2 linked regions of the Lytechinus pictus genome follow. The protein of the gene in region 2 interacts with the protein of the main gene of each other region in a pairwise test. Links are inferred from orthologs where the notes say so. Each region holds a gene or a part of one and is shown on either strand. Other genes may lie near its edges.

Region 1 (17,254 bases), on a different chromosome or scaffold from region 2:
AGTTTTGTGCATGTCATCATGAATATATACCATGAGTGATCAAATGTCAAGTCCCCCTTTTCTGTTTTTGTTTCCTGATACATAATCTTGATTAATTCATTTTCATTCATCTGCAATGAAAAATACATGTATCTCCCATGTCATGTAGCAATGATTTCAAGCACTTTAAATGAGGTCATATATAGAAGAGAAAATTACGAAAATTGTGTAACTTCATACGACATCAACAAGGAGATGACATGATTTTCTCACTCATTGCATATTTATAACAATTTTTTTTTTCACTGAAATAACATAAACCTTTAAATGAATTGACTTTTTTTATTTTTCATCATATTTTGAAAAAAAGAAAATCACAATTTTTTTTTTATTCTACTCAAGTTATCACATTGAAATTATTTAGTAAAGGCCAGAGTAGCCCTCAATCAATATTGAGCCCTGTACAAATATAACCTTGAATTGATATTTACAATATTTACAGCGCTTGAAGGATCCTTGTGTCATCAATATAAACTTGTCTTCTTCATTATCCTGAGGAATTCTTGCTCGTTGATTTCACCATCGCCATCTCGGTCTGCCTCATCTATCATTTCCTGTCAAATTTGAAGAGATAAAATAGTTGTTTATAGATAGACAAACTTGTGACACGATAACATTTCATCAAATTTGTCAAAGAGGATGATAGATTCAAAGGCCCGTATTGTGAAGTCGGGTTTAAATTAAACCCTTGTTTGAAGTTGCAGTTTGACTATGGAGAGCCAATTGGGGCACAAGTCTCTATTAGTACATGTTCAATTTATTAACTCTTCTGACACTCAAATCATTTATTACTGTCTCAGAATGATAACTGAAATATTTTCTTCATTATAAAAGCAAAGAGAAACAGAATAGTAAATATAAGAAATATACAATATAAGCAGAATTTTCAAGTTTTTGGCTCCCCATAATTTTAAAACAGACTTAGACCACGGTTTATAAAGTTAAAACTAACTTCAGAATACGGGCCAGAGTATGAGGATTGAAACACAAGCACATTGGATTCTATTCACACTAAACTTACTAGATTTTTTACTACCAGAAGTTCGGAACAAAGTACAAAAGCTCTGATTATCTGCAATGACGGGAGGGAGGCGGTAACCATTACAAATAATTTTGTGATTCGCCGACCAAAATACTGAATTGAAAATTAAAAAGTCTCACCACCATGAAATCAGAACAAAGCTTTATGTAAGTGAGAAGATGGCACTCAACAGCACACTTTTTCTTTTAGTATTTTTCCTTCTGGTATTTTCTAAAAGTATTAGAGATCTTGTATATCAATGTTTGCTCCAAAGATGTAAAACATAGATGCACTCCTTATAGAATGGGTCATCTCATTGAAACAAGGGTGAAATCCCTTAACATGTAAGGACCTACTATCATTGAAATACATAATCAGATTGTTCCTTTGAATATTTGCATATATCTGTTTCACATAATTATGCAACAACTAAAGTCTTTAGTTATATGCATCTTATTTCTAATCCGATTTAGATTAATTAAGCAGTTTGCTTCAAAATTCATTCATTCATTCAAGCTGTATTTGACGGATATCAAGATGAAGTTGCCCTTAAAATTCAATATAATTTCTTGGTGAATATTCCTTCTGAAGGAATTAATGCATTCCTGTCTGGATTGCATTCAAGAATACTGTACTTGGTAAGATAGATACCTGTAGCTCTTCATCTGTGAGGTTTTCACCTAGTTCTTTAGCTACCCTTTTGAGATTCTTGAAAGAGATCTTGCCCGTCTCATCGTCATCAAAGAGCTTGAATGCTTTCAAGATCTCCTCCTTAGAGTCCTTTTCACTCTAAAACATGGAAGAAAAAAGAAAATAAAACAATATAAATATAAAAAATAAACTTTTTCATGAATCAACAATATTTACATAAAAAACAAACTTTCATCTACACCCATACAAAAGTGAAATGCCAGTCTATTCCAATAGATAAAAAGTATGATGCATTTGTAACCCCCCCCCCTAAATGGATTAGTAGACTGATTTCAGTCATAAAAAGTTCATGTTTGTATATTGCTCTTTTGACAACATTTAGAGGTCTTTATATGAAAAGGGAATTTTTGCTCCACGAGTCACTACGTATTCAAGAACATAGAAAAATGTATTATCAAATGCCCTTCATAGCAATGAACAATCTCTGTCGAAAATTGGTGAATCAAAAGCTAAACTCTAGGCAAACTAGATATTTGCAAATTTTCATCAGCTCTAAAACTTAGGATGAAACTGTTGTTCGGATTCACCAATTTTCAACAAAGACCTACCAACTGCTGTCATTTGATGGGTAATTTCAATACACCTAATGTGTTCTTGATTCCATCATGCGTCACAGAGTGAAAACTCCGAATCTATCTGTTAAAGTCAAATTCGAGTAATCTTAGTGAGCATCAAACTCAAGGTGAACAGTTTTCATCATGACAGAGTGCTTTGTGTTTTTTGCTAATCAAAAAAATGATTAAAAAAACAGTAAAATGAAAGAATCAGTGATGTTCTTTCATATTTGCTATTCATTGCAGACCTTTGTGTTACATGACCCTACCATAAACCCTGCTTCAGTTACACTTACCATCTTGGCAGTCATGAGTTGTAAGAAGTCATTAAAATCAATCGTTCCTGAACCTTCTTTATCAATGTCCTGAATCATCTTTTTAATCTCTTCTTTCTTGGGTTCAAAACCAAGGGCTCTCATAGCAACCTGTTTCAATACAATAGGTGGAAGATAAATTAATGAGGACTGGCTGTTGATAATCGATAGTAGTATTCTAAGGTCTACATGAAGTGACTTTACCACAGGACACAACCTTGACGGAACTACATGTATCATTTTCAATAAATGCAGTTTTGAAAAATATAAATACTATTAAATTAACCTTATTACATACAAAAATTGCATTATTTTATGTTAGAGATCACATATCACCCCAGCATTTTCAATAAAGGGTTTTAAGTACAATATGTACAATTGTAATTGCTCTTATTCAAAGCCCCCCCCCCCCCCCATTTAATTGTTTCATCTAATAGTCCAAAGAAGTTCCACATTCAATCCAGGTCCAAGGCACAGAACAGTAACAATATTTGTGACACTGACAGGGTGTAATACATCAATAATTAAACAAAGATACATGTTCATAAAAAAAGGAATGGAAATTTTAAAGACTAAACTTGAATAGGGTATTAGGAACTATTCAAAAGACGGAAAAAGGCTCTATGTTGTCATAAACTAGAATACGAATTGTCTCCAAGACAACAAAATAGTGTACTGAATGAATTAAAGTGGCACATTGTAGAAAATGTAGCAGAGCTTTTACAAGGATTATATATTTTGAACATACATGTATAATAAAAATATACTTATTTGTATAGCGCAGAAACTATGTGCATATATTCTACTGCGCTGTAATTAAGAGCGATATATCAAGAAAAGTGATTGTGAATTCAACAAGAATATTAAGACCAAAATTCATTTTGGTATATATTCAGACTCCCATGAATTACTAGCTATTGTTGTTATGACATTTCATTCGATGGCAAATGTATAAATGATGAATAGCACAAAGGAAGTTTTCACTGTTATGCTTTTGTTGGAGTTGAGTTGACCTTTAACTTGAAGAACAACACATCTTAGGAGAATAGAGATGGAATGCCTTCCTACCTTCAGTTCCTTAGCATCAATTGTGCCTGCTCCTTCTGTATCAAATAGATCAAAAGCCTCTTGAATCTCTTGTTTTTGTTCTTCTGTAAGCTCTGGCTTTGGACCTTGCTTCTTTCTCTGCCCCCCAGCCAGGGTGGTCTTGGTATAACGACTCGTCTGTGGATAGAAAAAAAAGTATCAACATTTCAGGTATTAATACACATATAATAACCAATGAAATTAGCATTACATTGAATAGTTTATAATCATGATAAGATTACGGAAATATGTAAAATTGTATTGATCAATTATTTTTCATGATAGAACAATAATAGCACAATATACATAATTAGAAGTTTTCAAAATATGAAATTAAAAGCAATGAAGTAATGCCATAACACACTTTTAATATATACCGGTAAATGTAAATCAGTTAGCAGTGAAATATGGGGAGGGGAAACCCCATATATATATGGACAAAGATTTTGAACTGTCATTAGAATGAGGAAATATAGATGTTTTTGGTTATATTTTCTGAGTACAAAGGGGAAAGTTATACTTCTGTGACATCACAAATCTTGGTCCCATTGCCAATACGAGGATCTCCATTACAATAGAGATTTTGAAATGCTCAGAACTTTCTTATTGTTTGTCCAGTTGTTTCCAAATGTTAATTTTTCTGTTTTCATTACAAGTTAACTTGCTTCTAAGGTTTCATTCTCCTAATTTTTTTTTTTTCTGGTTAGATCACAATATCTATAGAAATAAGATCTACATGTAAATGCATGGTTTTGTACCTGAAAATATTAGCGCTTACCATTCCAGCTCAGTGACTGGAGTTTTCCAGAGACAAAGTTCTCCACTGTTAAGATACTCATCCTCAAGATAATCATTTTTCAGCAGACTTATTTATTTTAATTTTTTTATAACAATTCACAGTCACGATCGTTTCCAGTTAATTGTTTTGATGTTGAGCCATTTCCTTTTTTTTGGAGTAAATTGCATGGCTGGTTCATGATAGAAATGAGGAATAAGCCTGCATGATGCTATCGCTTCATGACATCACCCATGGTTAGGACCAGTCATCCTACATGTATGTACAAGGTTATGATCTAACTGTCCTCAGTTAATAACCCTGTGTGGTGAAATAAGGTCTGGAAATGTTCAGCTAATTTCTTTTGTGCACAGTCTGTTTCTACTACAGTCATTCATCATGTCTTGGTAAAAAAAACTACCGGTAGAGAGGCCTACAGTTCTTTCAATATACAGCTACATGTAGTCAGCCTCACAAGGATATGCTACTATTTTTCAAGCACTCTGGACTGGTGAATAAAAATAATAAGAGTTCTCTAGATCTAATACCCAAGATTGTAATGAAAAACATATCATAAATAAATGAGCAGAGTTTACTTGTTTGTGACAAATATGGCCCAAAGTGGCATTATCGAGAAAATGGGAACCAATTCCCATTTTAAACTGGACACATTTTCAAGACAAGACATGCCCTACCTACCAATGACTTCCGATTACATACTTCATTGCCGTTGCTGAGGCTGCTTCTGAGCTTCTTAAGATCAGAGATTTAATTGATTGCTGTTTCTTCTCTATAATGAAATCGGAACCTGCATGGAAAATTCTCCACAGGCATAGAGTTGTAAATGAACATGCTGGTTTCCATTTCAGTATGTATAATCAAGAAAATTTACTTCAGAGATTTATTTTGTCAGTGACGATTCTAATCTCACCAGTAGACTAGAATAGAGGCATAAGAGAATGTGAGAATTATTTTTGCAGTTATGATGCTAATATATCTAAATAGTAGACTGCCCTTGTTCCACTTGCTGAAACGGGAACCAGCATGTACAACTCAATGGTCAATTCTCCGTACAGCAGTTGTACACAGTGGTGCCCATTTAGACAGTTATACTAGTTGGCAAGATTCATCTTGTCAGTGATGATTCTGATGACAGATAGAGTTTACTAGTGAGATTTTGTTTTGTTTCTGATTTACTTAATGAATGTCATTGATTTTTTTTAACTGTATGAAAGTGGTATCTAGAGCGATCTTGAAGATCAGGGAAATGCAGATGGATTAATAATCAGAAAATTATATAATTCAATAAAAAAAAATTGACTAAATAAAGCCATGCAAGGGATGATGATTCATCGTCAATATCATTTGTCCACCAATGGAAATTTGAGGCTAAGGAATAATATCGAGTGAGAAAGAGGGAACCAGATGCATGGAGAGCTTTTGCATTGTAACGACAATGTTATGCAAAAAAAAAGGCTTTCAATTTGGCATTAAATCTTTTGAACATGAAAATCTCTGAAGCTGGCCTTAATCACTCCTAGTACCAGTGAGGTCAAAACATAACGGTATTGACTTCATAGGCAACAATAGCGGATATAACGGGGTGGTGCATTTGTAGAAAGTAGGCACAGGTGGTAACACACAAATGCACACAATGATGGCGACAAGGATGGTCGACGGGATGAATTGTCTAGTGATTTTATTTTTATTTTATTTTAGTCATGTACTTTTTTTAGTGAAATTAGTTATTGCTTATTGCAGTTTAGATATCACAAATTAGATCAAAGCCTAAGGTAAAAATTTGATTACATACCTGTGGATTTTGTACATTTATGCGGGGGGGGGGGGGGGGGTCGGGGGGTGGAGGCCCTCACATACATCAGTGGTACGGGGCCGTACAGCGTTGAGAACCCCCCTTTTCAGACCTCATTTTCAGTTCTCTAGATACTCTGAATGATAAAAGTTCCATTCAGAAACCGCCCCACTAACAAGACCCATGTTACGAAAAATCTGTTCCCCAGCCCTGCCTATACAGTGCGTTTCAGAAAAAAGGTAATCCAAATCTACAGGGCTGATATTGGGATCATATTTGATTTTGTGAAATTATTCTGCATGGATATGAAAGAGAAACTCATCTGCTTTCCATTCATACCCTATTTGTACCATAAAATGTTTTTCAAAGAAATTTTTAGAATGAAGAGTCAAGGCATTCCTCTGAAATGATTATTGAAAGATTAATGTCTTATTCACCTACACCTTCAACATGTCCTCCTCTCCTTTGCACACAAAACCGGCAGCGTGGATAAGAATTAAGAATATCTTGGACAGCTCGTCTTAACATTGCACAAAAGGCATCCACCTCTTGTTGAATTCGGCCCTGCAAATCATCAAGATCTTGGGGAGGAGTTGCAAACATTTTGTTTTCCAAGTGCCCAAAAGGAAATAATCACAGGGCATGAGGTCAGGGGATTTTGCATAGTGGCCATTCTACGTCCTGGTTGAGGGCAACAACTTGATGTCGAACTAAAGAGTTCTCGAACGACGTTGGTAGGATAGACAGGAGCACTGTCCTGAATCCACCAAAGATGCAGGTACACTCCTCGAACCTGTCTGTCAAAATGTTGGTCCAATGTGGTACGATCTCCTCAGAAATCATAAATGCAAGTCGGCATACATGTACATTCGCCCATTTACACTCCTTTGGAAGAAAAAAGGTCCAATCAAAAGATTTTTGCCAGCTCAGGCATCAATGAAAGTATTTACATCTGCATCTACCTTTCCATCAAGTTTTCAAAAACTTTGAAAAAGTGGTATCTGCACCTGTTGTCTTCAACATCAAATAATTCGGTCATGCATGGCACAAATGGTACAAATAGGGTATCAATGGATAGCTGATGAGTTACTCTGTCACATCCATGCAGAATAATTTCACAAATTTAAATATAATTTGTATATCAACCCTCTAGATTTCGATTACCTTTTTTTAAAACACACTGTATTGTCAAGCATAATCATCGCAAAGCTAGCTGCATTTACTCATGAATATTTAGGAGTATTCCAATACTGTAGATCGCGATCAAGAAAATAGCAAAACAATCTCGATCTAAAGGAATATTCATGAGTCTTGACCAGCGATAACCTGTGAATGTGTAATTTGCATTTGCAATGTGTTGGAATCAGCAGTGAAAAATAAGTGCGAGGAAATAGCTACTGGCTGTAAATCACCAATTTTGAGACTGATAGAAGTGTGGACAAGGAGTGAAATGTAAGATGAGTTGTTATAAATGAATTGTAAGTTGTATTAAGTTCGCTAGGCACTGTGCCTAGCGAACTTAATAATACAACTTTTCAACAAGCAGTACGTAGAGGCGCTGGTCAGAAAATTGTATTCGTCCCAGATTTTACAGGGACTGTCTCAGTTTTGAAAGATTTCTCCACACAAGAAATCTAGGATAGTTGTTGTTGTTGTTGTTGTTGTTCGTTGTGGGTCGTTTCCACACCCAAATGATCTCCTAGCTGGTATACTCTCAGTGAGTTTGTCACAAGGTTGATGAGCTGCTAGTAGGGATCCCAAAACGAAAATCTAATTTTTGAAATCTATGTTTAAAAGCATTGAAAAGTACCTCACCTGAATCAGCATATTAAAAAACCCCAATTGAATGACTTTTAGTGTTCCAAAGAGATCTAAATATCTGTTAATCTGAGGCGAAATTAGGTCCGAATTGTGACAGATTTGTGTACAAATTTCTCTTTGAAATTTGGTCGACACGTACGGCACAGAGCTCGGCACTGAACGAGGGATTGTGGGCGTGTCCTTTCTCGTCTCGGTCTATTATTACGCAAATACACAACTCGAACGAAAGTACGTTCACCGTATCAGTTAGTCTCGGATCCGAGCTTATACAAATAAACAATGATTAAATAACAAGAAAATAATAGAAAGAAGAGAAAAGGGAAAATGAATGGCTCAAATGCAGTCGTTTGGTGACGGATAGTATGCTCTGACCTCTTGCTGATATAAGGATTAGATATGACATAAGTTTTATGCCATGATAACTAAAGCATGGGGGGGGGGGCGAGGGCACTCTGACTTTCAAAATAATTAACTATTTAAACATCTATATCTAGGCAATTAAGGGAGGGTCCGGGATTTCCAAAGGGGGGGGGGGGCACTATTAGCCATGTTAGCGGTGGCAGTCAAAAAATTTAGGGGGGCACCAAAATTTTTGACAAAAAAAGGTTATCAAAGGGGGGGGGGGGCCGAAAAAAATTTTAGCCCCCCAAAAAGCTAACAACATCCCCCATAGGCAGCGGGGGGGGGGGGGGTGTGCCCCCCTAAATTTGAGGTGGGGGGACGATCGTCCCCCCCTAATTTTTTGTTGATAATCTTTTTTTTTGCTTGTCAATTTTTTTTTCCTGCGTGCATGCCCCCTAAATTCCAGTGGACCACCCTAAAAAATTCATGTGGTCTCCCCTAAAATTTGGGTTGATACACTTTTTTGGGGGAGGGGGCTTGTCACAAAATTTTGGTGGTCCCCCTCCCTAAATTTTTGATTTCCGCTGCCAATGGTCCCCACCTAAAATTTAGGGGGGACATGGCCTATGGAGGGCACATTTTCCCGATGCAAATTTGATGAGCATTACAAAATATTTTTTTACCAAAAATTGAAAGTCATTTCGTCCATAAAAATTGACAAGCAAAAAAATAGGGCATATATATATATATCCTCACTTTCAAGGGGGCATGCTTGGGTAAAAAGGGCATGCTTATATTACAAATTACAATTTTGGCTCTCGATAATTATGCCCCTTGGACCCACCAGTAATCTAAGGGGAATTTTTTGTTTTTAGTTTTGATATGGCTACCTTCTCGGAGGGCGTCCTCGCCGCGGTAGCTGGATAGTGCTGCAAAAGAGTAGGCCTTATACATATTTTGCAGCATTAACTGACACTCCGAGACTTATAATTTTACCTTATACTTAAAAAATGAATAATAAAAAATAAAACATAAACACTTGTTTTTAGAGTAAGTTGATGCAAAATATATTCAGTCTGGGGCATGAAGACTTGGAACTCTGCCCCATATCATTGTGCTTGCCTCGCTCGATTTGTATCATTAAAAAAAAAAAAAAATGTTTCCACATTAAAATTTTGATCTAAGTACAATGGCCAGAAATAATAGTACGAATAAGCTAGCAGAATTTGTATCATATTACCCATATTATTGAACGCCAACGAAGGCAGTTTCTAAATCCTGTTTGCTTTATTCCACTTTTCCACTAAGATTCATCCCTTTTGCGTGTCATATGAAAGCAGTTTTGTGCGCAGATCTAGCGTACCGGTAGGACCACATGCAGTCATTAATAGGTCTCTTTAATTTTTTTTCCAACAATTGATGTCTCATGCTTTCTTTAAAATTAATAAATTAGAATCCTTGTATATGGCCCTGGGAAGTGGGGTGCTCGGGTTGTGACCCCCAAGTTTTTTTGTTTTTTTTAGCTGGTGGTGCGTTTTTTGTACACGTATATAGTTTAAAACAGGAAGAAGAATGACATTGATTTTTGTACCGCATTATTTTCATTAATAATTTTATTGGTAGAAATAAGGTAGAAATAAAATTTAAAAAACATTTTTCAAAACTATTCCGCGGCTCCTGGAAGAATGGAGAGATGGACGGAAGGAGAGAAATAAATAGGATGAAGGGGTGGATCCAGCTTTCGCCAAAGGGGGGGGGGGGGCCAATTTTTTTTTCACCATTATTTTTCCCCAATCGGCCGCGCGAATATGGTTTATATTTGTTTCTATGAAGAAATTGTCACTTCTTAGCTTTTGTCTTATAAATCAACATAAATATATGATATCATAACCCTTTTTATATAATGCGAGCTAATTTATTAAAAAAATTATGTTTTTCCCCAAAGTTTGAAATTTCTGGGCAATGTTTATCATGAAAAAGATGTGTATGCAACTAAATAATTACTAAGAACGCGAAGTGCGAACAGAATTGAAATCATAGGCACTTTTTGTAACTTAAACAGGATAGGTATATAACTTAGCAATATTGATGCGAAGCGCGGGCACAAAATTGGAAGATTTAGACCTAAAAACGAGACATGTCTAGTCATGTCTTTTAAATCATCATGGAAAAGGATGTCAAATTGCCGATCTTTGTTACTTTAATAATACTCGCGCAAAGCGCGAGCATAATATTTTTGTATACGTTTTGAACTGATCAAAAAGGTACCTGTTAAGGACTGCTTATTTCACTTAGCCATGGAGACGTTACATATTTCAACAATAAAATAATGCAAGCGCGAGCCGATTTTTTTTTTACACTTCTACATAAAGAATGGAAAATTTTAATCGATTATTGTGACCATGAACAGGATCGTCGCTATAAAACAATTAATGCGAGCGCGAAGCGCGAGCGGGAAAAAAAATCGAGATTTAGACCTAAAAAATGGGACACTCTATTCATGTTTTGTATAATAAGGATGAGTAATAGGGGTTCTTCCTACATAAAAAATGCGAGCACAAAGCGCTAGCAGAATTTTGTTTTTCAGAAACTGGATAATGATTGAAATACTAACAAGTTGAGTATCTATAGATAGACATGCGCTCGCGTGTTTCCGATTTAGGCCTACAATCTAGGCATTCTGAATATATATTTTAACATGAAATTGAAAATCAAAGCGAGCGCGAAGCGCGACCTTAAAATATTTGACATTCTGATCTGAAAAAGGGGTCAATTTCAGCTCAAGTACTTTGTGAGGTGAATTTGGATCGCACTTAATAAAGAGCTGATAGATTTGACAAAGGACCGGGACATGAAAGTGATGAATATCTTCCTATTCCTCTTGCTAAGCGCGAGATGAAACAGAAAGGACAATTAAACCATTAAAATTAATATCTGATCTATAAATGCCTAATGAGACGCGAAATCTGATGATAACATGGTATGAAAACTGGAAATTTCAAGCACTTTTGTAATTATGAATATGATGTATCAGGTAATATTTTTAACCGTTTATGCGAGCGCAAGTCGCGAGCCAAAATTTTTATAAGGCCAAGTCACAAGGATTACCCTCCTTTTAACTGCCATTATCAATATGTTACTACATTATAAATCATGTATTTACTCTACATATGCATTAAATTCTGTGAATCCCATAATCTTGAACCATTAATGCTTCTTTCTTTGACCCATGCTATTTCTGCCCATTTATCTCTTGAGTGTTTTTTTTTCTCTCTCTCAAGGTGTGTATGGCACATTGAGGAGTATAGAATCATGTTGGAGATATTGAAAGGGGTAGAATAATTGAATGAAATTTATGGGGGGGGGGGGCAAAGATGTTGAGACAGAAAGGGGGTTTGAGAGAAAAGAGGGGAATTAACTATAAAGGAACAGCAGTCAGGAGAGGGAAAGAGAGAGAGAGAGGGGGGGGGAGGAAATCGAAGGAAGATATGCATACGATAAAAGAGTCCTCGTAGAAAGAGTGAGAGAGAGAGGGGGGGATATGGAACTGAGAGATCATAATGAGATAAGAAAGAAGTAGTAGTGCATGGGCGGATCTATCGCCAATAGGGGGGGGGGGGGGTGCCAATTCGTCTACGGCCAACTTCAACTTGTCCACTCCCCGCATATCGAAAACTTGTATGCAGTGTACCGGACATGTAAAAACATAGCAGACGACGTTTGCAGACCTCGCGATCATCGTATGACTAGTGGTGTGGAATGTTCCATTGCGGCTTTATGGGGGAAATAGCATTACAGAGGGATAAAATGTATACACAGATAATGTTTCAGCGTTGATTCGCAATATTTTGAGTCAATTTTCATAAATTATCGTTGTTTGAACATTTAAACATCATTATAAAATGAAAGAAATAAGCAAAACTTAATTTTCAGACTTAGCTATGCAGTGGTATGCTAGCATGCACCCCTCGTATACATAATGGACCCGTCATGGGTGTAGGTTTGCTCTTCGGACATCACTTTCACAAAGAAAATCTCCTCTGATTTGATGATAAAAGTGCCCTATTTCCTTATTAACCAATCCCCATGGTTCTTTCATGAGTATTTGCCTTACAATGTGCCCTTTATTGTAATCTGGGCGGAAATTCATGATACCACCACCCACCGATGTGACGACGGATATAATCCACCGGGTACTATAAAAATGTCCCCCAAACCCATTATCCCAATACATATTCCTGACTATGGATGGTTTCTAGTGATTTTAATGTAATAAAGTGCCATATTTCCCACCAATTGAATGTAAAAAAAATTATGGTCATCTGATAGAAGAAGTTGTTACCATTCATTTCAGGGGGGCGGAAATTCTATCTGAATCAACGCTTGTCCTTGATACACATTTGTTTGTGAAAAAAGGGTATAATGCAAGGGAATTCTGCGTGTTATAAGGGTGCGCGCGTGCAGCGAGGACCTTCTGTCCGCTAGTTTTCCATATACTACATGGTCTACTTTCATTTAGTCTTATGCCAATCTGTCCATCAACATTTCGTCTAACAGCCACTGGTCCATTAACCATTTGGTCCAATCATCACTTTGTCTAATAACCATCTCGTCTATGACCATTTAGTCTCATAACCGGTTGGTCTAATATATACCCATTTTATTTTCATTCATTCACAATAATACACTTATAGTCCAATTAGATGAAATGGTATATGGACCAAATGGCTTTTGGGTCCACTGGTCATTAGACGGAATGGCATTAGACTAAATGAAGAAGAAAAAAGACTATGTGGTGAGTTGACGAACTGATGGACCAAACGATAGTAGACGAGTTGGCAATTAGACAAATTGGAAATAAACCGGGGAAGGGGCCGAAAAATATTTGCACCCGTATTTTCCACAATCAGCCGCTCAAAGTTAATAGGGGTAGTCCTAACAGTCACTTCTTTATTCTCATTAAACAGCATACACAAAATACAATATACAATAATATCATAGCCCCTATAGTGCAAGTGCGAAGCGCGAGCTAAAATATTTTTGAAATTTCATGTTTTTTATCCTCAAAATTGAACATTCTGGGCAATGTTTGTGAACTTGAACAAGATGCGTATTTTACTAAAATTGCTGCGAGCGCGAAGGAGCAAAAAAAAAGTAAGTAAGAAAAGAGAGAAATATACGTTCTGGCCTGATCGAAAAGGGACTTGCTAATGGCGGTTTACAGTTAGCCAAGAAGACGATGCATATTTCAATCAAAATAATGCGAGCGCAAAGCTCGAGCTAAAATGTTTGAAATTCTGACCATAAAAATGGACATTCCAAGCACTTTGTGTATGAACAGAACACAGTGGGAGCACGAAGCGTGAGCGGATAACAATTGAGATATATATAGACCTAAAAGGAACACTATTTTATATTTATGTTTTCTAAATCGTGAAAAGGGTGGGTAATTGGTTACCGTCTTACATTATTTTATAATGCAAGAGCGAGAAGAATTTTTTTTATATTCTAATCTGAAGCGAGATAATTTAAGCATGCTGTTTTCAATAAAGGATAAGCAGCCCGTCTCAATAAACATGCGTGTTCTAGAATTTGTGCATTCTTAATACACTTTTTACCACGGAAATCAATAATGCGAGCGCGAAGCGCGAACTGATAATATTGGATATTCCGATGTGAAAAGGTCAAATTAAGCACAATATAGGTGGTTTGAATAAAAATGAATAAAACGGCTATTTCGACTCTCCGTACGGCCGCCGCAGAGCAAATGTGACCGAGGTATAAATCAAAAAGAATAATGAAAGTTCAATGTCCTAGCTGACCGTACAGTATTTGTTTTGTATTTTGACTGCAAAGCTTAAATGTCAAGCTCATATATATCAGCCTATTGAGCAATATGTACTCATCGAAAATAAGCAATGCGAGTGCGAAGCGCGAGCGAAAATTTCAATTTTGCATGTTCTTTTAAATCATCAAAGTCTCCCCTCCCTAATTTTATTCACTTTTCTCCCTCCCTTTCCCCCTCTCTTTTCCTTCTGTTTCTTCTTCCTTTCTCCATTTTTTGGTCTTTATAATCCGCCAACAGGGAAGGGGGGATGACCCCCCCCCCTGGATCCTTCTATGGTAGCGATGGGGAAAGCATTTGAATTATTCACCTCACAATGTTAAACGGGGAAAATAGGAAATGGCTAAATTTTGAAAATCATTAATGTGGAGCCCTATTCAAGTTTAGTTTCATCTATATACACCTTGACAGGGGCTGATCCAGGATTTTCCAAAGTGGGGGCATTCAAGACCTAGTATGCTAAGAAAAAATCATTCCATACACAAAATTCCTGGGAAAAGTTGAAAAATAAGTCCTCACTTGAGAACGAACGACAAAATCCACTAACAAATATTTGATATATTACGGGAGGGGGCACCTTTATTTTTCTCCCCTTTCCTTATTCCTCATCCATTCCATAGGCAGATCCAGGTGCCGGACCCAATTATGGGCGGCGGCAACCCCTCCTACTGGCGGTGCGAAAATTAAAAAGGTAAAAATTGTAGCCCCCCCCCCCCATTAGCAAAATGTTGATCTACACCGGGTATTTGTCTGTCGTACCTCCCAGTAAATGAAATAACCCAAAAAAAAAATCACCGTTGCACTAGTATTAAAATTTTTGCGAGTCTTTATTTTTCAAATATTTTTGTTTATAATGGTATTCATTAATTATAATTATAGTGGAGGTTCGCATCCCGAGAATGTGAAATGAAAAAAAGAAAACAAAAATTGCACTGAACAGGAAACACTAAACGTCCTTGTCAATTCCAATTTACTAAAAGTCATTCAAATAAAAAAAATAAGCATCATTTTTTGATACCTTAACTTGTTCATCACGAATACAATGAAGCCGACAATTATTTGCTTTGTTTTGGATTAATCTTTATAATAATTCACTTCAAATAAAATTTATACATAAACAGGAAAATATCACAGAAAAAAAAATTAATTGCAGTTGTATAAAACATCATAGAAAATAACATGACAGATAAATTTTATCTCGACAGGCACACTGTTCATTCGATCATAAAACAATCGCGCTGTTTCACTCCTTGTACACGCACATCTCTACCAGTGTTGTTTCATCTTCATCTGCCTCAATGGCAAGGACACCAGCATGATTCATTCACTTCAAATAAAATTCATACATACATATACAGGAAATATCAAAGAAAATAATATAACAAATCAATTGCAGTTGCATAAAACACGATAGAAAATAACATGGCAGATGAATTTTATCTCGACAGGCACACTGTTCATTCGATCATAAAACAATCGCGCTGTTTCACTCCTTGTACACGCACAACTCTATCAGTGTTGTTTCATCTTCATCTGTCCTCAATGGCAAGGACACCAGCATAATTAATTCACTTCAAATAAAATTCATACATACATATACAGGAAATATCAAAGAAAATAATATAACAAATCAATTGCAGTTGCATAAAACACGATAGAAAATAACATGGCAGATGAATTTTATCTCGACAGGCACACTGTTTCATTCGATCATGAAACGATCGCGCTGTTTCACTCATTGTACACGCGCAACTCTATCTGAATTGTTTCATCTGTCCTCAATGCGGCAAACACCAGCAGTGCAGTGACGATAATAAGTTGCAGTTGCACGTGCGCGGAGAATGAATTAAATTCGGCGGCTGAGTAAAGTCTAGCGAGAAAGGTACGTCACCAGCGAACTTCACGATAGACCACGCCTACTTGCCGAGGTAACCAACGTTGATTGACGGCCCATTTTGTTTTTTGAGTAGTATGAAAAAGTGCAAGCATGTATAAACTTCATTTTAGTTTGAATTCATTAAAAAAACACATTTTTCTTCTAATATAGATGTTTCAAACATATTCCATGTGGAAAACATAATTTTTAAAACATTTATTGCTATATTTTTATCATGAAAAAAGGATTTCTTACGCAACAACAAGTATGATATGTGTGGGCAAGAGAACTACCGTTTTAGTCATAAAGCATATTTTTTATGATTTTATTGTGAGCCTACTCAAAGGATTTTTGTTTATTTTTATGAATTTCCAGACCAAGTTCAACAGCGCCGTCTCGAGCTTGCAATAACGCATGCGATCGCACGCATTTTTCTCCATAGCGAATACACGCGACGAAACTCTGTGGATTTCTCGTGGATTTAACCTCCAAACGTCACTTTCGATACCACATGAAGGTAAGACACTTCATCCCACATAAGTTAATTTAAATGTAGAATACACAGGGCCTAATTTTTTTCACTAAGATGAACTAATTTGCTGAGGAAAAGCATTTCAATGCTCATTTTTGCCGTCGAGAACAGACGATGGTGGCAATGCACACTGTTTACGCACTTGCAATTGGCTTTTCATTTGCCCATAGCAATTTTGCTCAGTGGATCGGCCGACCTTTTGGTAACTCTACTGCTAGGTACTAGGATAGTTCATTCACCTGTCAAGTGCTGACACCAATCAAGTGGGCATAAGCCTGTCTAGGCTCCTTGACCTTGATGTACTGACAATATCAAAATCATAAAAAATATCATCACGGAGTCCTCTAACTAGACTCGAGTAACGGTCGTTAAATGATTTAGTAGAATTAACTGACAATGACATGACATGCAGTGGGTGTCAAAAAAATCAAGCATAAAATTAAAATCATTTATCCCCCAAAATGGGCCAAATCAAGAGAAAATAAGCCAAACATTGTCAACCTTATTTCCTCACACAGAGAACAA
Region 2 (17,352 bases):
CCTTCTATAGAAAGGACACATGATCTACTGATAGATGTGATAAAAGAGGAAGTTTAAGTGAAATATATACTAAATGGGGAGAGTTGTTCACAAGTGACATCACACATCTTTGTCGCATTGCCAATGTGAGGATCTCCATAGCATTAGTGATCGCAATATTCAAATGCTCATAACTTTCTCATTATTTGTCTGATTTTTCTCAAACTTTTGTTGATCTGTTTCTTTTATTTTTCTGTTTTCACACAAGCTATCTTGTTCCAAAGGTTTCATTCTCCTTTAAGTAGGCTCAATTTTCATGGCAAATTGGGAATTCTGCTGCATAAAGAACATAACTGAAAGTCTGAAACCCTTCAAAGTTATTGATCTATTTCAGACTAATTTTCAATATTATGAAACTAGAAAATAGTTGCGGTAAACCGGATTTCATGAGAAAGTCTGTAAAATCAAGGTTCATCATAGATCTAGGTCTGGTACAATTACATAAACTGAAATTCATGAAATCATGAAATCTAAGCTGAACAAGTGGAATGCCTCTGGCGGTCTCACCTGCATCGCGCGATTCAATATAGCAGCAGTGCTGACTTTGAAAACAACTATAAAATAATTATTCACAAAAAACACCATTCATATAATAATACAATACTACGTTCATTGACATTTGACCTTGATCATGTGACCTAAAACTTGTCAGTGATACTTGATTACCCCTGTATTCACATTTTATACACTATATCTATACACATGAAAGTTATGACAGCAATCTAATAATTACCTCTAACATGGCCAAAGTTCAATGACCTTAAATGACCTTTGACCTTGATCATGTGACCTGAAACTCGCACAAGATGTTCAGTGATACTTGGTTACTCTTCTGTCCACATTTTATGAACTAGACCAATACACTTTCAAAGTTATGATTGTAATTCAATAGATACCCCCAACTTGGCCAAAGTTCATTTACCCTAAATGACCTTTGACCTTGGTCATGTGACTTGAACCTCTGGCAGGATGTTCAGTAATACTTGATTAACCTTATGTCCAAGTTTCATGAACTAGGTCTATATATTTTTTAAGTTATGACATTTCAAACACTTAACCTTAGGTTAAGATTTTGATGTTGATTCCCCAACGTGGTCTAAGTTCATTGACCCTAAATGACCTTTGACCTTGGTCATGTGACCTGAAACTCAGGCAGGATGTTCATTAATACTTGATTCATGAACTAGGTCCATATACTTTCTAAGTTATGCTGTCATTTCAAAAATTAACATTCGGTTAAGATTTGGTGTTGACGCCGCAGCAGCCGCCGCACAGTGGGCCAGAATGAGTTGAAAGTGCGCCAAAATTATATTCCGTGTTATATTTTTACTTTAACATGTTGATTAAGGGTAATTTTGGGCGTAGAATCGACTGAACATAATTTAAAGCCGATATGACGTCACTTTGATACCAAATTTTGATTGGCTACCTATCTGTGAAAAGACAAATTACGCTAAACAATGTTTAGTATATAAACTTTGTGTTATGTGTTACTTTAAGATTGACCAGAGTGAATGTTGATTTATGCTTCTCACATGCCTAACAAGTGTGTATGAGATCCTGAAAATAATTATATGGCATCAAAATGATCATTAGATTTAAAAAATACTTAAAAATCTGAAAAATATTAACCGTGCTTTATCAAGCGGTGTAGACTTGGGTAAAACGCAGAGTATATAGGACCACGAATGTTTTACTGTGAGGAGGGTTTTTGGCTGAAATTATTCTACAAGTAAATTTTATCTCTGGGGTAGCCCTTATATGCGTTATCAACCTTTATTTTGTTTGCATTATGCCCGGAATTCATGTCTTTTTCATGGAATGGAAGGGGAATCGTCCTCGCCGTGCAAATATGAACGGCAGTGTACACCCCACACGGTGCGCTGCGATGACTGCGTGGTATAAAAATGACCGTTTTTGAACAGGTTTTGGGGGTGTTGTGCCAAGTAAAATCGGCTCTAACATGAAAACGGGCAAAAACGGGCAGCTAAATTTGGTACCAACTTAAAGCTTAGACATCTGGCAAAATGATAATGATAGAATTTAAACAGAAATCCACGGAAATATAAACGTTTCTAATGTAAATGCTAAAAACATGGATTATCAGCCTATTTCGAGGAATAATTGTCCTATAAACCTCCTGAAATGTGTCTTTTATCTAATTTGAACCATTTCACACGAAAAGAAGAATATATCAGGATTACGTGGGTGCCATTTCAGATTCCTACATGAAAAACCTCCCGTGAAATTGCTTGCTTTTCAACTATGTTGTCATACACGCGGCATTTCGCAAAATGTCACATTTTACGATTTGAGGTAGGAAATTAACATCCTTTATGCAAATTCCCGAATAAAATATTTTGCTGAAGTATTCTTCAAAGTGTTGTCTTTCAGCTGGGCATGAAAAAAATTAAAAATCTGAAATTGCCCAAAATGAATTTTGGCGCACTTTTGTTTCGCCCCGGCCCACTGTGTGCCGCCGTCGGAAAAGAGGCGCCTGTAGTCTCACACTGCTTCGCAGGTGAGACAAAAAAATGAAATGTGGGTCCATTAACACAAAAATTAGCGATTAATTGTACGCTTGATTTTCACAATTGATTGTACATTGTAGTAAATGCAATTAATCGTAAAAAAAAATGTTCTACAATCATTGCTAAGCTTTGTGTTACGGGCCCCTTGGGAACAATTCATGAAAGGACTTGTCAAATGTTTCATCTGAATCTGACAAAATCTTGTTTTTTATGACAGTTAACCATAGTAAAAGTGCCTCTCAGCCAGTGAAAATGAAAGAAAGTTTTGAGATCTGATAACTTGTCAGAGAACAAATGTTGATTAAATGCTCCTCAGAACTAAGTTCTTTCTCATTATTAACCTCCAAAGTTTGTCAATGTTTGTCTGTTTGCTTCACTGGGAGCCAATTTCTTTTATATTCCTTTAAAAATCTTGTGCTACCTTCAAAGTTTGTCAACAAGGTATGTTTGTTTTTAGCTTTTTAAAGGAGAATGAAACCTTTGGAACAAGTAGGCTTGTGTCAAAACAGGAAAATAAAAGAATAAGAACAAAGAAAGTTTGAGAAAAATCAGACAAATAATGAGAAAGTTATGAGCATTTGAATAATGCAATCACTAATGCTATGGAGATCCTCCCATTGGCAATGCGACAAGGATGTGTGATGTCACATGTGAACAACTTTCCCTTTGATGGACTATAAAATACCCCCAAAATTTCTCTTTTTGCTTTTTCTTGTGGTGATACAAACTCTTTATACACGGCGTATTCTTTAAAAATCTGTATTACATTCCCTTCTATAGAAAGGACACATGATCTACTGATAGATGTGATAAAAGAGGAAGTTTAAGTGAAATATATACTAAATGGGGAGAGTTGTTCACAAGTGACATCACACATCTTTGTCGCATTGCCAATGTGAGGATCTCCATAGCATTAGTGATCGCAATATTCAAATGCTCATAACTTTCTCATTATTTGTCTGATTTTTCTCAAACTTTTGTTGATCTGTTTCTTTTATTTTTCTGTTTTCACACAAGCTATCTTGTTCCAAAGGTTTCATTCTCCTTTAAGTAGGCTCAATTTTCATGGCAAATTGGGAATTCTGCTGCATAAAGAACATAACTGAAAGTCTGAAACCCTTCAAAGTTATTGATCTGAAACCCTGCTTCGACTTCCTTCGGGAGTCTACATGTATTTCCTCAGCTCTACTTTTCCCCTTTTTTGTGCTCGTTTCGATGCAACTACTACTTTATTTACTTGTTACCATTGTTAAATGTCTTGTATTGCATAATCAGTTTTTTTTTCTGAAGGTTGCCTCCTATTCTCTTTCAAATTCCACCTCTTGCTTTCCCTTCTCTTTGTCTTATCCCAATTTCTTTCCCTTCTCCCACCTCTCTTCTCTTCTCTCTCTTTCATAATCTTTCATCCCTCTTTTTTCTTCCTTGGTGACACTTTGTAGTACTAATGGCCTTTTGTATTTATTTATGATACATTTCTTTTTCATTTGTATGAATTTGTATTGTATTTGATATTTATTTATAATGTTTACATTATATTTTGTTATGATTCTATTTGTATGTAAACATTCACTTATTTCAGTCTTTGACTGCTTGTGATTGTATTTTGATAGTTTTTATTGCAATAAAATCCAATATATATCTATTTCAGACTAATTTTCAATATTATGAAACTAGAAAGTAGTTGCAGTAAACCTGATTTCATGAGAAAGTCTGTAAAATCAAGGTTCATCATAGATCTAGGTCTGGTACAATTACATAAACTGAAATTCATGAAATCATGAAATCTAAGCTGAACAAGTGGAATGCCTCTGGCGGTCTCACCTGCATCACGCGATTCAATATAGCAGCAGTGCTGACTTTGAAAACAACTATAAAATAATTATTCACAAAAAACACCATTCATATAATAATACAATACTACGTTCATTGACATTTGACCTTGATCATGTGACCTAAAACTTGTCAGTGATACTTGATTACCCCTATATTCACATTTTATACACTATATCTATACACATGTAAGTTATGACAGCAATCTAATAATTACCTCTAACATGGCCAAAGTTCAATGACCTTAAATGACCTTTGACCTTGGTCATGTGACCTGAAACTCAGACGGGATGTTCAAAGATACTTGATTACTCTTATGTCCAAGTTTCATGAATCAGATCCATAAACTTTCAAAGTGACGATGGTAATTCAAAAGATACCCCACATGGCCAAAGTTTATCGACCTTTGACATCGGTCATGTGACCTAAAAATCGCACAGGATGTTCAGTGATACTTGATTACTCTTATGTCCAAGTTTTATGAACTAGACCAATAAATTTTCAAAGTTATGATGGTAATTCAACAAATACCCCCAACTTGGCCAAAGTTCATTGACCTTACATGACCTTTGACCTTGATCATGTGACCTGAAACTCGCACAGGATGTTCAGTGATACTTGATTACTCTTATGTCTAAGTTTTATGAATCAGATCCATAAACTTACGAAGTTATGATGGTAATTCAACGGATACCCCCAATTTGGCCAAAGTTTGTTGACCCTAAATGACCTTTGACCTTGGTCATGTGACGTGAAACTCAAGCAGGATGTTCAGTAATACTTGATTAACCTTATGTCCAAGTTTCATGAACTAGGTTCATATATTTTTTAAGTTATGATGACATTTCAAAAACTTAACCTTAGGTTAAGATTTTGATGTTGATTCCCCAACATGGTCTAAGTTCATTGACCCTAAATGACCTTTGACCTTGGTCATGTGACCTAAAACTCAGGCAGGATGTTCAGTAATACTTGATTAAGCTTATGGCCAAGTTTCATGAACTAGGTCCATATACTTTCTAAGTTATGCTGTCATTTCAAAAACTTAACCTTCGTTAAGATTTGGTGTTGACGCCGCCGCCATCGGAAAAGCGGCGCCTATAGTCTCACTCTGCTTCGCAGGTGAGACAAAAACGGGTGTTTTAAAACATGTTTTAAAACACACCGTTTAAAATGTGCCACCCCTGCGTGGCTGCATGCGCTACTGTGCTGAAAATACACAAATGGTTATTTGTCCATGCATATTTTCTTCAAAATAAAAAGATTAGTCCGGAATAAGATCTCTACATTAGTGAATATCTGTAAATCTGACTTTGTAATGTCTTTGGAATATTTCCTCTTGTATAACAAGGGTTTCCTGCTGGATCTAGCAAGAAACAATTCTCGCTACCCCAAATAACGATTTCGCCGAGATCCGGGAAAAATCCCTGTAACGTGCATTGCATTATGGGATAGCTTTTCGGTATTACAACTTCCTGTTCCCAAAATAGTGCAATTCATTCATACAGTACTAGGGCCAAGGGGGATATACGTTTACCTTTATTGAAATTGAAGTTCTCAAGAACAACTATTATATTCATGGGTACTAAATGCTGGAACAGTATCCCACTTGAGCTACAATTATATCCTACTTTGTCATCATTTAAAAGAAAATATAAATACTATATACTGCAAAATGATAATTAATAGATTTTTGTAGAAACATGCTACAGTGTGTCAATCTCTCCTGTTTACTATGCAATCTCATTTTCATTTCCTCACTCTTTCTCTTTCTATCTTGGCTTTGACATCTCTTCATAAAAATATGTTTAATTTGTATTTTAATCGTATGGGAATACCCTCGATAAGCCCCCGTGGCTTTTGATGTTTCCACCATATTTCAATTTGTTATGTATTTTTTATATGTATGTAAATTAGCCTTCTCTCACTTTCTTTTTTTATAGGTGTTTTTTCTGTATGTGATATATATGTATATATTCTTGTTTGTGATTTGATGATTATGTTTGTTTTTAATTGAATATGGAAATAAATGAAATGAAATGAAATGAAATGAAGTCCAATGCACTGTTTTGCCATTCAGATCAACAGTGCCGTCATCCACAACAACACAACGTCGCTTTCGCTCGGAAATTTCGTGATCACAACCCTCTCTTTCACGATACAGTTTAACGGCCTTTTCTGCTTAAGTTACTAATTCTGCCCGACGCTTTCCATTAATAATAATAATAAACAGTTCTTGTATAGCGCATATCACAATTATGAATAATGTCTCTATGCGCTTCCAAAGGACTTGGATATTATTACCCCAGCTGTAGCTTGGCAGCCGTAATTACTAAGATACCATTGCACGGTATTCCTCTGTCAGTAAAGTTTTTTTTAAGTTCCGAAACAGATTTTTTATCCATTTTGTGGTCGACTTAAAATTGAACGGAATGAATGCTGTAGTGTATATATTTAGCGTCTAGTCAAATACGATCGTGATGTCAGTCGCTAAATGCAAAATTTTAATATATTCATTTTTTGTTTTATTTCTTTATAACCAAATAAAAACATGAATAAAAATTATTTTCATGTGAAATATATTTTGTATTTTTATTTATAATTCAAATGGAATCAAAACTGACCAAATTAAATAAAAAAGTATAATCTGTACATATTACGCTGATTTGCATCGATTTCAGCGTGGTGGAAAACTCAGTATCGCGAACCTCGCGCGAGCATAACTCTGAACCGGAAGTGGTGATGACGACCAGATGGAGTGAAAATTATCTCGTCTCGCGCATTATGAGATTTTTGTTCCTATTTGGGGTAGCGAGAATTCTTGTTGACCAATAAATATTGTACGCAACATTGAATTACAATATAGACTCCCCACCAGTTGTAAATTTCTAAGAAAGTTAACCTAAAAATTGACAAGAGAATGTTCAGAATACTTTACATCTCGATATGTTATCTGGCACAGAGAAATTTTGTGCATCGTTTGTAGTTTAACACATATCATAGCTCTGACAATATGAGTACTCAGTGAAAGTTACAAAAGTTACAAGGAACGATCAAAAGATTTACAGAATAATAACTCCTTAGATACAAGATGTTAAAACAATTTTCATAACACCATCCCAAGATTTTATCTCTGAAAGGTATTTAGGTGTCTTTTTATTATCTTAGACATAATCATAAGACAACCAAGCATAAAACTTTTTTTTTTCTTGCAAAACCAGAAGTAGGGCTTAATACAGCACATTTTAAGTAGTACGAGATCCGACGCAGAGCTGGGTAGTGCACAAGGCTCAAATGCGTGCAATGTGAAAAATAGCACACAAATCGTTGATGAACACGTATTGGTTTCTTTTTCAGGATGTAGGCCTACAGTATGTGGAAGTGATTTTGTTCATTTACCGCTTGACTGGAGATAGATGAGCTGGTCTTTGATCGGTCTCTGGGGTTGGAACGATTGGGCAGCTCCGGCAAGGGTGTGGGGGAGCTGAGAAGGATCATAATGTGGAGTGACTACAGCATACTGCAGCAGCTCCTGGTATTCTTCCTGGAGACTCGAGGAGATGGAGCTTCCTGGTGAATCATCAGGAGGGAGCATCGGGATGCTATCTGCCTCAGTCGATGTAGACATAATGCTCTGTTATTAACAACCACCAAAAAAAAAGCAAATGAGATATCAACTCACATCATTTGGGAAAACTTTTTTCTCAAATAATTTTTTTCTTTGTAAATTGTCTGTACTGTGAGGTGTGAGCTAGCATCTCAATTGGAGCTACACCCCAAGGAATTCATCAATCTGAAAGGAAAACGAGAATATCATTGATATAAAAGTAGATTTATCAAAATCAGTAATAAAATAAGAGTTATGGAAGTTTGAAACATGCTACATCACAGGTGATTGTGTGGACAACTCTCCATTTATTTAGTACACAAATTTACAGATTTTTACTCATACTTCTCATTCTTGCCTCCTTCACATCACACGAATCCACACACAAGTAATACCACTTTCCAATTTTTGAGAAAATTGCATTTTCCATATGTACTCCCAGTAAATTTGTTTTTGAAGTCCCAGCTAAGAAACATTTTTCCCCCTTTTTTTCTACTTCCGCTTCCAGTCACACATTAATAGCTACCTTTCTGGGATTCAAACCTCTGTTGCTCCAATCTTTTGATTCTCAGTCCAATACACTGCCACTGCGCTAGCGAGATATCACTGAAAGAAAGTGTTTCCAAAACAATACAAGTGGAATGCCTCTGGCCGTCTCACCTGCATCACGCGATTCAATATAGCAGCAGTGCTGATTTTGAAAACTACTATAACTCGCACAAGATGTTCAGTGATACTTGGTTACTCTTATTTCCACGTTTTATGAACTAGACCAATACACTTATAGAGATATGATGGCAATTCAACAAATACCCCCAACGTGGCCAAAGTTCTTTGACCTTAACATGACCTTTGACCTTGATCATGTGACCTGAAACTTGCACAGGATGTTCAGTGATACTTGATTACTATTATGTCCAAGTTTTATGAACTAGACCAACACACTTTCAAATTTATGGCTGTAATTCAACAAATACCCCAATTTGGCCAAAGTTCATTGACCCTAAATGACCTTTGACCTTGATCATGTGACCTGAAACTTGCACAGGATGTTCAGTAATACTTGATTACTATTATGTCCAAGTTTCATGAATCAGATCCATAAACTTTCAAAGTTATGATGGTAATTCAACAGATACCCCCAATTCGGCCAAAGTTCATTGACCCTAAATGACCTTTGACCTTGGTCATGTGATGTGAAACTCAAGCAGGATGTTCATTGATACTTGATTAACCTTATGTATAAGTTTCATGAACTAGGTCCATATATTTTCTAAGTTATGATGACATTTCAAAAACTTAACCTTAGGTTAAGATTTTGATGTTGATTCCCCCAACATGGTCTAAGTTCATTGACCCTAAATGACCTTTGACCTTGGTCATGTGACATGAAACTCAGGAAGGATGTTCAGTAATACTTGATTAACCTTATGGCCAAGTTTCATGAACTAGGTCCATATACTTTCTAAGTTATGCTGTCATTTCAAAAACTTAACCTCAGGTTAAGATTTGGTGTTGACGCCGCCGCCGCCGTCGCCGCCGCCGTCGCCGTCGCCGCCGCCGCCGCCGTCGGAAAAGCGGCGCCTATAGTCTCACTCTGCTATGCAGGTGAGACAATAACCGGATATCATGATTAGTCCAATCCCATTATTCAAGGCTATAGTGCCTTCATTCTTGTGACTAAATAATCCAATGTCTTAAGGAGTTAAACGCCCTGGATTTTCCTTCAAAATTTGACAGAATAAAGCCATATTTTGGTATGTGCATCAGTGCATGAATATCCAACTGTTCCTTGCTAAATGTCATAGATATTTGTTTGAGTAACTTGTCCAAGATTTGACATAATGAGCTTTTCTGCATGATTCATTTATTAAGCTATCTTTTCACAAATGAAATTTATACCAACGCATGTTAGCCTACTTTTAATTCCATAGTTCATTTTCAATATTTCATAAACTCTTGAAATTATCACCAGGTTTTGCGGATAAGAATCGACTCCCTCTGCCCTTTGTTTGACATAGCGCATCACGCACTTAATAGTCAATGCATGCAAGAGGCGCTAAATTGCGTTGCACTACTTGCGATATGCAACCTGGAAGTAAGTGGCCATTCACTCCCACATTGCTCCTGGAGCCAGTCGAATGAAGGCAAACTAGAGGCATGCCGTTGCCTCTATTTTTTGTGCAAATTGAATCCATGAACTTTTAAGATACAATCCTAACGAGAAATTTCGAAAAAGCAGAACAAAACCAGATTCTTAGTTTCTAGCACATTTTTTTTTTACTTTTAGCGATCCCTGTTTCTTGAAATCAGATTCCACGTGTTTTAGGGCAAAATCTGACGTTTGACATTTCAGAGAGAATTTTGGAGTTGAAATCAGGACTTTATATGGTGAGTGATACCAATGTCTTTCATTGTTCATGTGTTTGGTGTGAATTGTGGTGATTGATCATTGACATTGTCGCTGGCTTGCGAAAATGGTTTCTCCGCACATCAGTTGATAGATTTAATTTGTCTAGAAGATCTAGTGTAGGGACAGTGATTTACCGCAATCACGGAAAACAAACGGAATGCACGGAATTGGCCATTTGAAACGGAAAGTGGCTTTTCAAAAAGAAAATCAAGGAAAACATATTTTTTCTCAAAATGCACAGAATAGCAACAGAAATTACTTCATATCCTCAACGAAATACGAATATCAACTGGCTACAAACATGATATCACTTTGCTACATCCATGACAATCCACACATCGTGACTGCACTCGACTCCATCACTCAATTGTATCGAAATTACATTCATGTCTGCATAATAAAGGCAGAAACACAGCTTTGTGTTGCTGCCCTCTGCGTTCAGTTAAAACATCATGACCACTGTACTCCCTTAATCCAAAATTGTGGATAAGCGAGAGTCGTCGACTGCTCAAAACGATGTCCAAAAAGGATGTATTCATGTTAATGTTTTTTTAAATAGTTTTTGTACTCGTATTACCTCTATTACAATAGATTTTAAAGTATTGTTAGTACAGTGGCAGATACAAATTTTGACCCGCGTGAGCATTTTGACATCGCTACTTGTCGCGTATTGATTTTCTATGTAAACAGAATTGTCACTTTTTCATGTACACAAAGTCTATGGGGAAACAGAACTTTCGTTTTCATACATGCTAAAACGGAATTTAAGATTTTCTGAAACGGAAAGGAAATTTTTAGAAATAGAAAATCACTGTCCCTACTAGTGTGCATGCCATTACTAGTATAATTTTTACCTTATCCATAATCTAGATAGGCCGAGATAACATTAGACTTATAGATCTAGATCTACTAATAGTATAGTGAGTCACCACATACACATGCATCAACCACCTCTTTCGAAACCAACCACCTTGCGCTCATTTAGATTATTGCATATTACAAATGCTATGTGCGGGAGAGTAGGCGCAGTGTCCATAGGAAGATAAGAATCGATTTAACTAGAGAAAAGGAGGGATAAAAAGGTTTAAAAAATTTAGAATTCATCAAAATTGTATTGACCAGACCCGAACCCTACTGCAAGACAGTTGTTCATAGTCACACCAAGAAATCTGATAGGAAACAACAAATATCCGTCGTCAATCATCGAGTCATGTACTGGAGCATGCAGTGGAAGTAGTGAGACCATCATTTAGCATGGTGACATCATAGAACTGAGTTGGAAGAGTAAAAATATTTCACCAGCGTGACAAGAAACGGCGGTAAAATAAGTGTATGGCTGGTGGTCGGTCCTAAGTCAGCGTGCGACACTGGTCAGACAGTCCCAGACCAGTAAAAATTGCTGTAGGGCCAGTAACTTTACAGAAATAGCCAGATTTACTGGTCCAACATGACCAGTAAAAAATATATCAAACTGATACAAATGATATTTTCTCCTCTCTTGTGAATTGTAAATATGGCTCTAGCATCTTAAAATATGGGTATAATATTGCCAAATATTTTGTACTAATATTGATGAGACTTTGCTCATGATGCTTAAGTTGTTACTTTATGACTGTTTAAAATCAACTGTCTGGCAACACAACTAGGTATGTTTAATGATTACTGGGGGTTGCAATGATGATATGGAACTCTTGCCTTGTTTTCTGTGTCAGACCACCGGCGCCAATGTTTATGTTTAGTTTGTTTGAAGCTACCATATGATTGTATAAATATTAGCCGGCATGTTCAGCCTAGGCCTTGTTGAATAAAGGTGTTCATTTTGCATCCCAATCTGATGTGGTAATTTCTCCCTTTTTATTGTCGTGGTGTCAGCGCTAGGTTCGTTCCCTGCCACATAGGAATTTTTAGGCCAAAACTGGGTCACGCATCGACAGTTTAGGACTATAGCTGTAGTGATTTTTGCAATTTGAACTGGCTGATTCATCGCTCCATCAGCGTTAGCGACACACAGGTAATGCTTTGATAGCCTCACGTATAGTACGATACGATGACGCAGTCAGCGGAAGTGCCCGCACAGTTGCGCAGGTTGAGTCGGTACGAGACTCCCGAATCCTTCCTAGAGTGGAAGCGTAGTTTAATGATGAATTTGTGTTCATATACTGATTTTTTGCCTTTTCTATCGGAGAGTATTTCATGGCAAAGGAAGTCGAAGGCAAATACCGTACGGGGTTTTGTTGACGATTCCTTTGACGTTGCTGGCGGTAAGACAGCCGCTCAGAAAGTTGTGGTTTTGGAACTCATGCTGGGGCAAATTTCAGCTTCTTGCCCGATTATCGCCAGAGGTTCTATTGTAAATAAGTCCACTTCACTTGCAGACATATGGGATCTTGTTTGCATACATTTTGGTTTCGACAGACAAATGCTAGCTAATGACAATTACCAATATCATGTCAGTCAAACTCAAAGTCTTGATTGTTGTGAAGATGAGTTGAATGACAATGAATTGAGACATGCAGGACGTGAGAAAAATAATGTCACTGAGTTCAGATGTAATGATCGAATTAGAAGTGATCAGAATAAACATGAACTTGTTATTGTGTTCAGATGTGATGAAAGAAGTGATGAAAATAAACTTGAAGACAATGTCAATGATAATGGGTTGAGATTCGTTGAAGGATGTGATGAAAATAAACACGAAGACAATGATATTGAGTTGAGATGTGATGAAGGAAGTGATGTAAATAAACATGAAGACAATGTCCATGATAATGAGTTGAGATGTGATGTAGGAAGTGATGAAAATAAACATGATGACAATGTCAATGATAATGAGTTGAGATTCGTTGAAGGATGTGATGAAAATAAACACGAAGACAATGATATTGAGGTGAGATGTGATGAAGGAAGTGATAAACATGAAGACAATGTCAATGATAATGAGTTGAGATGTGATGTAGGAAGTGATGAAAATAAACATGAAGACAATGTTAATGATGAGTTGAGATCTGATGAAGGAAGTGATGAAGGGCAAGTCCAAGAATTCGCGCACGTTACGTACATGTATGGGACATTTCAGAGGCTTTAATGACCTTAAAAATAGTGTTAGATTACTTTGATTAAATTGAATACCCTCATGATGGTAGACATCTAGGAGAAGAATAATCATGCAAAAAATTGTGTCATATGGCCTTGACCTTGACCTTTTAGACAGAAAAGATGTGCTGTTACGTATGGGACGCAGAAAAAAGATAATTTTTAAAACCTTTTTTTTCAAGTTGAGAATTCTCTGAAAGTATTTCATTTGACAGCTTGTATCTTAGTGTGATAGAAGTCACTACACTCTAGTATATCTATGGCAAGTTTCATGTCATAAGCCCAAACCCTCTAATTACAGACTCTAATTAAACAAATTAATGACATGTTACGTATGGGACAGTTACGTATGGGACATTTTGTCCCCATAGAGAACGTACATAATTTTCCCTACAATTTCAAAAATCCAAATAATCTAAAATATGGAAATAACAAAAGAGTTTTTTTCTTTTAAAATGTTTTATTGAGACATATTTGATATGACTGAAAAGAAAATGAGCCATTTCAACAATTTTTTTTCTTTTTTTTCATAGTTTCATGAATTTCTTATGTATTTCTATTGTTTTTTATTTTTTTCATATTGTTCCATTTTCACAATTTTTCCACTTTGATTGTTTTCATCAATCAGTATTCATAACAAATTAGTCTTTAAACACTAAAGAAAAGGTAAATAATCACTTTTTAGAGCACTCTTGAAAATGGTTTTTCTCCATTCACTTTGTACACAAATCTCCCCATTGACATTATGTGTAAATGTCCCATACGTAACATGTTGTCCCATACGTAACAATTTTTAATTAAAAAGTAAACTTTATTTTTGAAACTTTTTGTGGTATAAAAATTTCCTAATTAATGAATTAGAACTTCCCAGAGATACAATAATACAAGTATTGCATTATGAGAAATAACTTTAAAAAACATCCTCGAAATGTTATGTATGGGACATTCCATCCTTGGACAAGACCTAATTTGCATATTTAATTAGATGACACCACTTTTTTCCCCAAAAAGTAATAAGATGTTAGGGGGTCCATGTCCCACCTATGACTAATTCTCACAAGTTTTGTTTTGATTTTCTATGAGTTTTTATAATTGTCCCATACGTAACGCCCATTTTACCAATTATGCAAATTAGGTGCCCCAAATTAGCATAAATATGCATATTATCATATTTTTCTTTATGAAATTTTAAAATTCAACATTTGGGCTTTCTTACCCCACCAAAGATAACTTCTTAAATTAAAGATGAAATTTTGCCTTCTAGGGTGACCTTTTCTTGGACTTGCCCTGAAAATAAACGTAAAGACAATGCCAAGGAGTTTAGCTTTGTACATGCAGACGAAGGTGGTATCCCCAGTCGTGATGTCGATGACGTTGCTTTGCGAGAAGATGGAAGAAGTAGTCATGACGTGTTTCATTATGGTTGTAACATTGGAGTGACAGGTGATTGGAGTAGGCCTGTTCACACTAGCGATTCTTCGAGGTTTAGCGTTGAGTTAGATGGGTCTAGAGCTATATCGTCCGGAGATTTAGATTTAACCGACCTTGTAACACATTCTGTTAATCTTGATGGTTGCGCTGCTGAGTTGTCGGCAATGCATGTAGCTAATGATGATCATGGTTCTCACAATGATGTGGTATGTAATCCGGGTATTCCTACCGATGATGATTGTTTATCGGAGCCTGATCGTTTCCAAGGTCATGAACTCACTGTTGGACTGGGATGTGATCCCCCTTCACTTGATATGCTATCAGGCACTTGCACACTTGGTGCGAGTAAAGATCAGTTGAATTTCTGTGATGTTGTTGATAGCAATGTTCGCTATGTTGGTTCATCAGAGAGAGATGAAACGTGCAAAGACTTGTCAGTTATCCCTGGCAGTACTCCTGGTTTCCAGATTGAGCCAACTTTTACCTGCATTGACGGGGCTGATAGGCTCTTGCGCTCTCTGATACACTGTTCACTCATCACACGCCCGAACAGTGCATGCACCATTCACATACAGGCACTCGTTTTCGATTCACACATTCGAACGATAGGCTAGCCGTTCTCGATCTCGCTATTGGCCAAACTAACAATACCTCTGTTCGGTTCGCATGTTCGAATGATAAAATAGCTGTTCTCGATCTCGTTCTTGGTCCAACTAACAATACCTCCGTTCGGTTCGCATGTTCGAATGATAGAATAGCCGTTCTCGATCTCGCTATCGGCCAAACTAACAATACCTCCGTTCGGTTCGCATGTACGAATGATAGAATAGCCGGTCTCGCTATCAGCCAAGCGAGCAGTACCTCCGTTGACATGACAACACATCAACTGCGCCTGTATATGCTCGAGCCATCGTCTCGTATTCAGTTATCTCCAGTTAACCCAACTCGAGCCATTGATCCAGGTGCTGATCGGAAGTTCACCATGGACTGCTTTGAGCAAAGTACCATCCCTGATCTACGTCAGGATCCACCACATTCTCTTCAGCTTGAGGATGCCCTGGTCCCCCAAGGACACTCCCCAGATGTCCATATTTACCAGCATGGTGTTGTTCACTCCAGCTCTTTTGTGGTTGATGCCATAGCCACCACTGTCCAGGATGAGGAATTCCAATGTCCTCTAGACCGATACCATGATGACTCCACCTACCAGCCTGTGAGGGATACCGCCTCTGATGTGATCCCCAGCCTGGGTACAGTTCTTATGAGTACCAACATCTCGGTTCCCATGGGTCGACCCCCCGACGTCCAACGTGTTCGCGATGTCTCCACTTCATGTACCAGTGGAACTGCCCGAGATTGTCATCACACCACCCTCAAGATGGGCCCTACTACAGGAATTTTGATGGCCTCACTACGACTCGCCTATGGACTTTCGCGACCTTTGGTCCCCATGTCCGCTGCTCTATATGATCCTCGAGGTAACCCCTCATCGCTACTTGGTCTGCTTCGGAACAACACCTGTTGTCCAGACATAGGTCCAGACATAGGCCCAGACATAGGTCGCTTTGCTAGCTATGCGCCGGATATTACCCCACCCCCCCCCCCCCCCCCGGCCCCTCCACACCCCCAGCCTGTCCCCTGCATCAGTGTTTTTAGTTAGCAGCAGCCGGTCACGTCGCATTCTACGCCGCAAGAATTGTTGGACTATTTTTACTGTTTTCACTTGACCGCTGTTACTCTTTCTTCGAACATTCGCAGTTATTGACTGTATTGATGGTGATTTATTCCTTGTCGATTTGTAATCTGTCTTTGTATATTTATGACAGTGTTTTTGTTGGTTTCTTTATCATGTTTAATGTTAATGCCATAACCACATTATCTGTTAGTATCTTAGACATGTTTTAATCTTGTCCATTTTGATATTGTTTTTTATTTTTACCAGTTGGTGGTGCAGTTGGCCTCCAGTTGTACACATATAGTTTAATTTTTGTACAGTTACTTAAGTTGGTTATTTTTGTCATACATTTTGTTATTTTTTTTACAATAGCCAAGGGTACTCATGTAAGTTTTTATTGGACTTAACACTGACCAGTGAAGTTGTGTAAAAAAATTTGTAAATATTCCTTGAGTGAGATATTTTTGTTTGTTATGATTGTGCTATTGTTATTTTGGGATACTGATGTGAGCCGTAAGCTTATTACATAATGGAATTTTATGCTATTGTATTGTTTAATACTGATAGTTTAGATTTTACCTCTTGGTTTTTATTGGTGACAGGTTTATGTACATGTAGGCCTCATTTGTGATATTTCCAGTATATTCGATCGCACCGTTTCGCTCCATGGTGTAGCTGTTTTATGCCTTTTAGGTTCTGTTTTACTTGTTTTTTAGCTTGTATACGCCCTGTT

Evidence for each region.
Region 1: the proteins of centrosomal protein POC5-like (region 2) and uncharacterized protein LOC129261036 interact in binary tests that used the Homo sapiens proteins (3 or more experiments, as listed by UniProt). The link is inferred for Lytechinus pictus from reciprocal best matches to the Homo sapiens genes POC5 and CETN1.

What each region holds. Positions count from the first base shown.
Region 1 is NW_026974140.1:2,534,084-2,551,337, reverse strand, and holds the start of uncharacterized protein LOC129261036, read right to left. Parts: upstream 8,359-17,254; 5' UTR 8,141-8,358; coding exon 8,129-8,140; intron 3,864-8,128; coding exon 3,708-3,863; intron 2,751-3,707; coding exon 2,622-2,750; intron 1,850-2,621; coding exon 1,712-1,849; intron 594-1,711; coding exon 504-593; 3' UTR 1-503. UniProt on the Homo sapiens protein: Plays a fundamental role in microtubule-organizing center structure and function. Plays a role in sperm cilia formation.
Region 2 is NC_087247.1:29,890,220-29,907,571, reverse strand, and holds the start of centrosomal protein POC5-like, read right to left. Parts: upstream 8,029-17,352; coding exon 7,800-8,028; intron 1-7,799. UniProt on the Homo sapiens protein: Essential for the assembly of the distal half of centrioles, required for centriole elongation. Acts as a negative regulator of centriole elongation.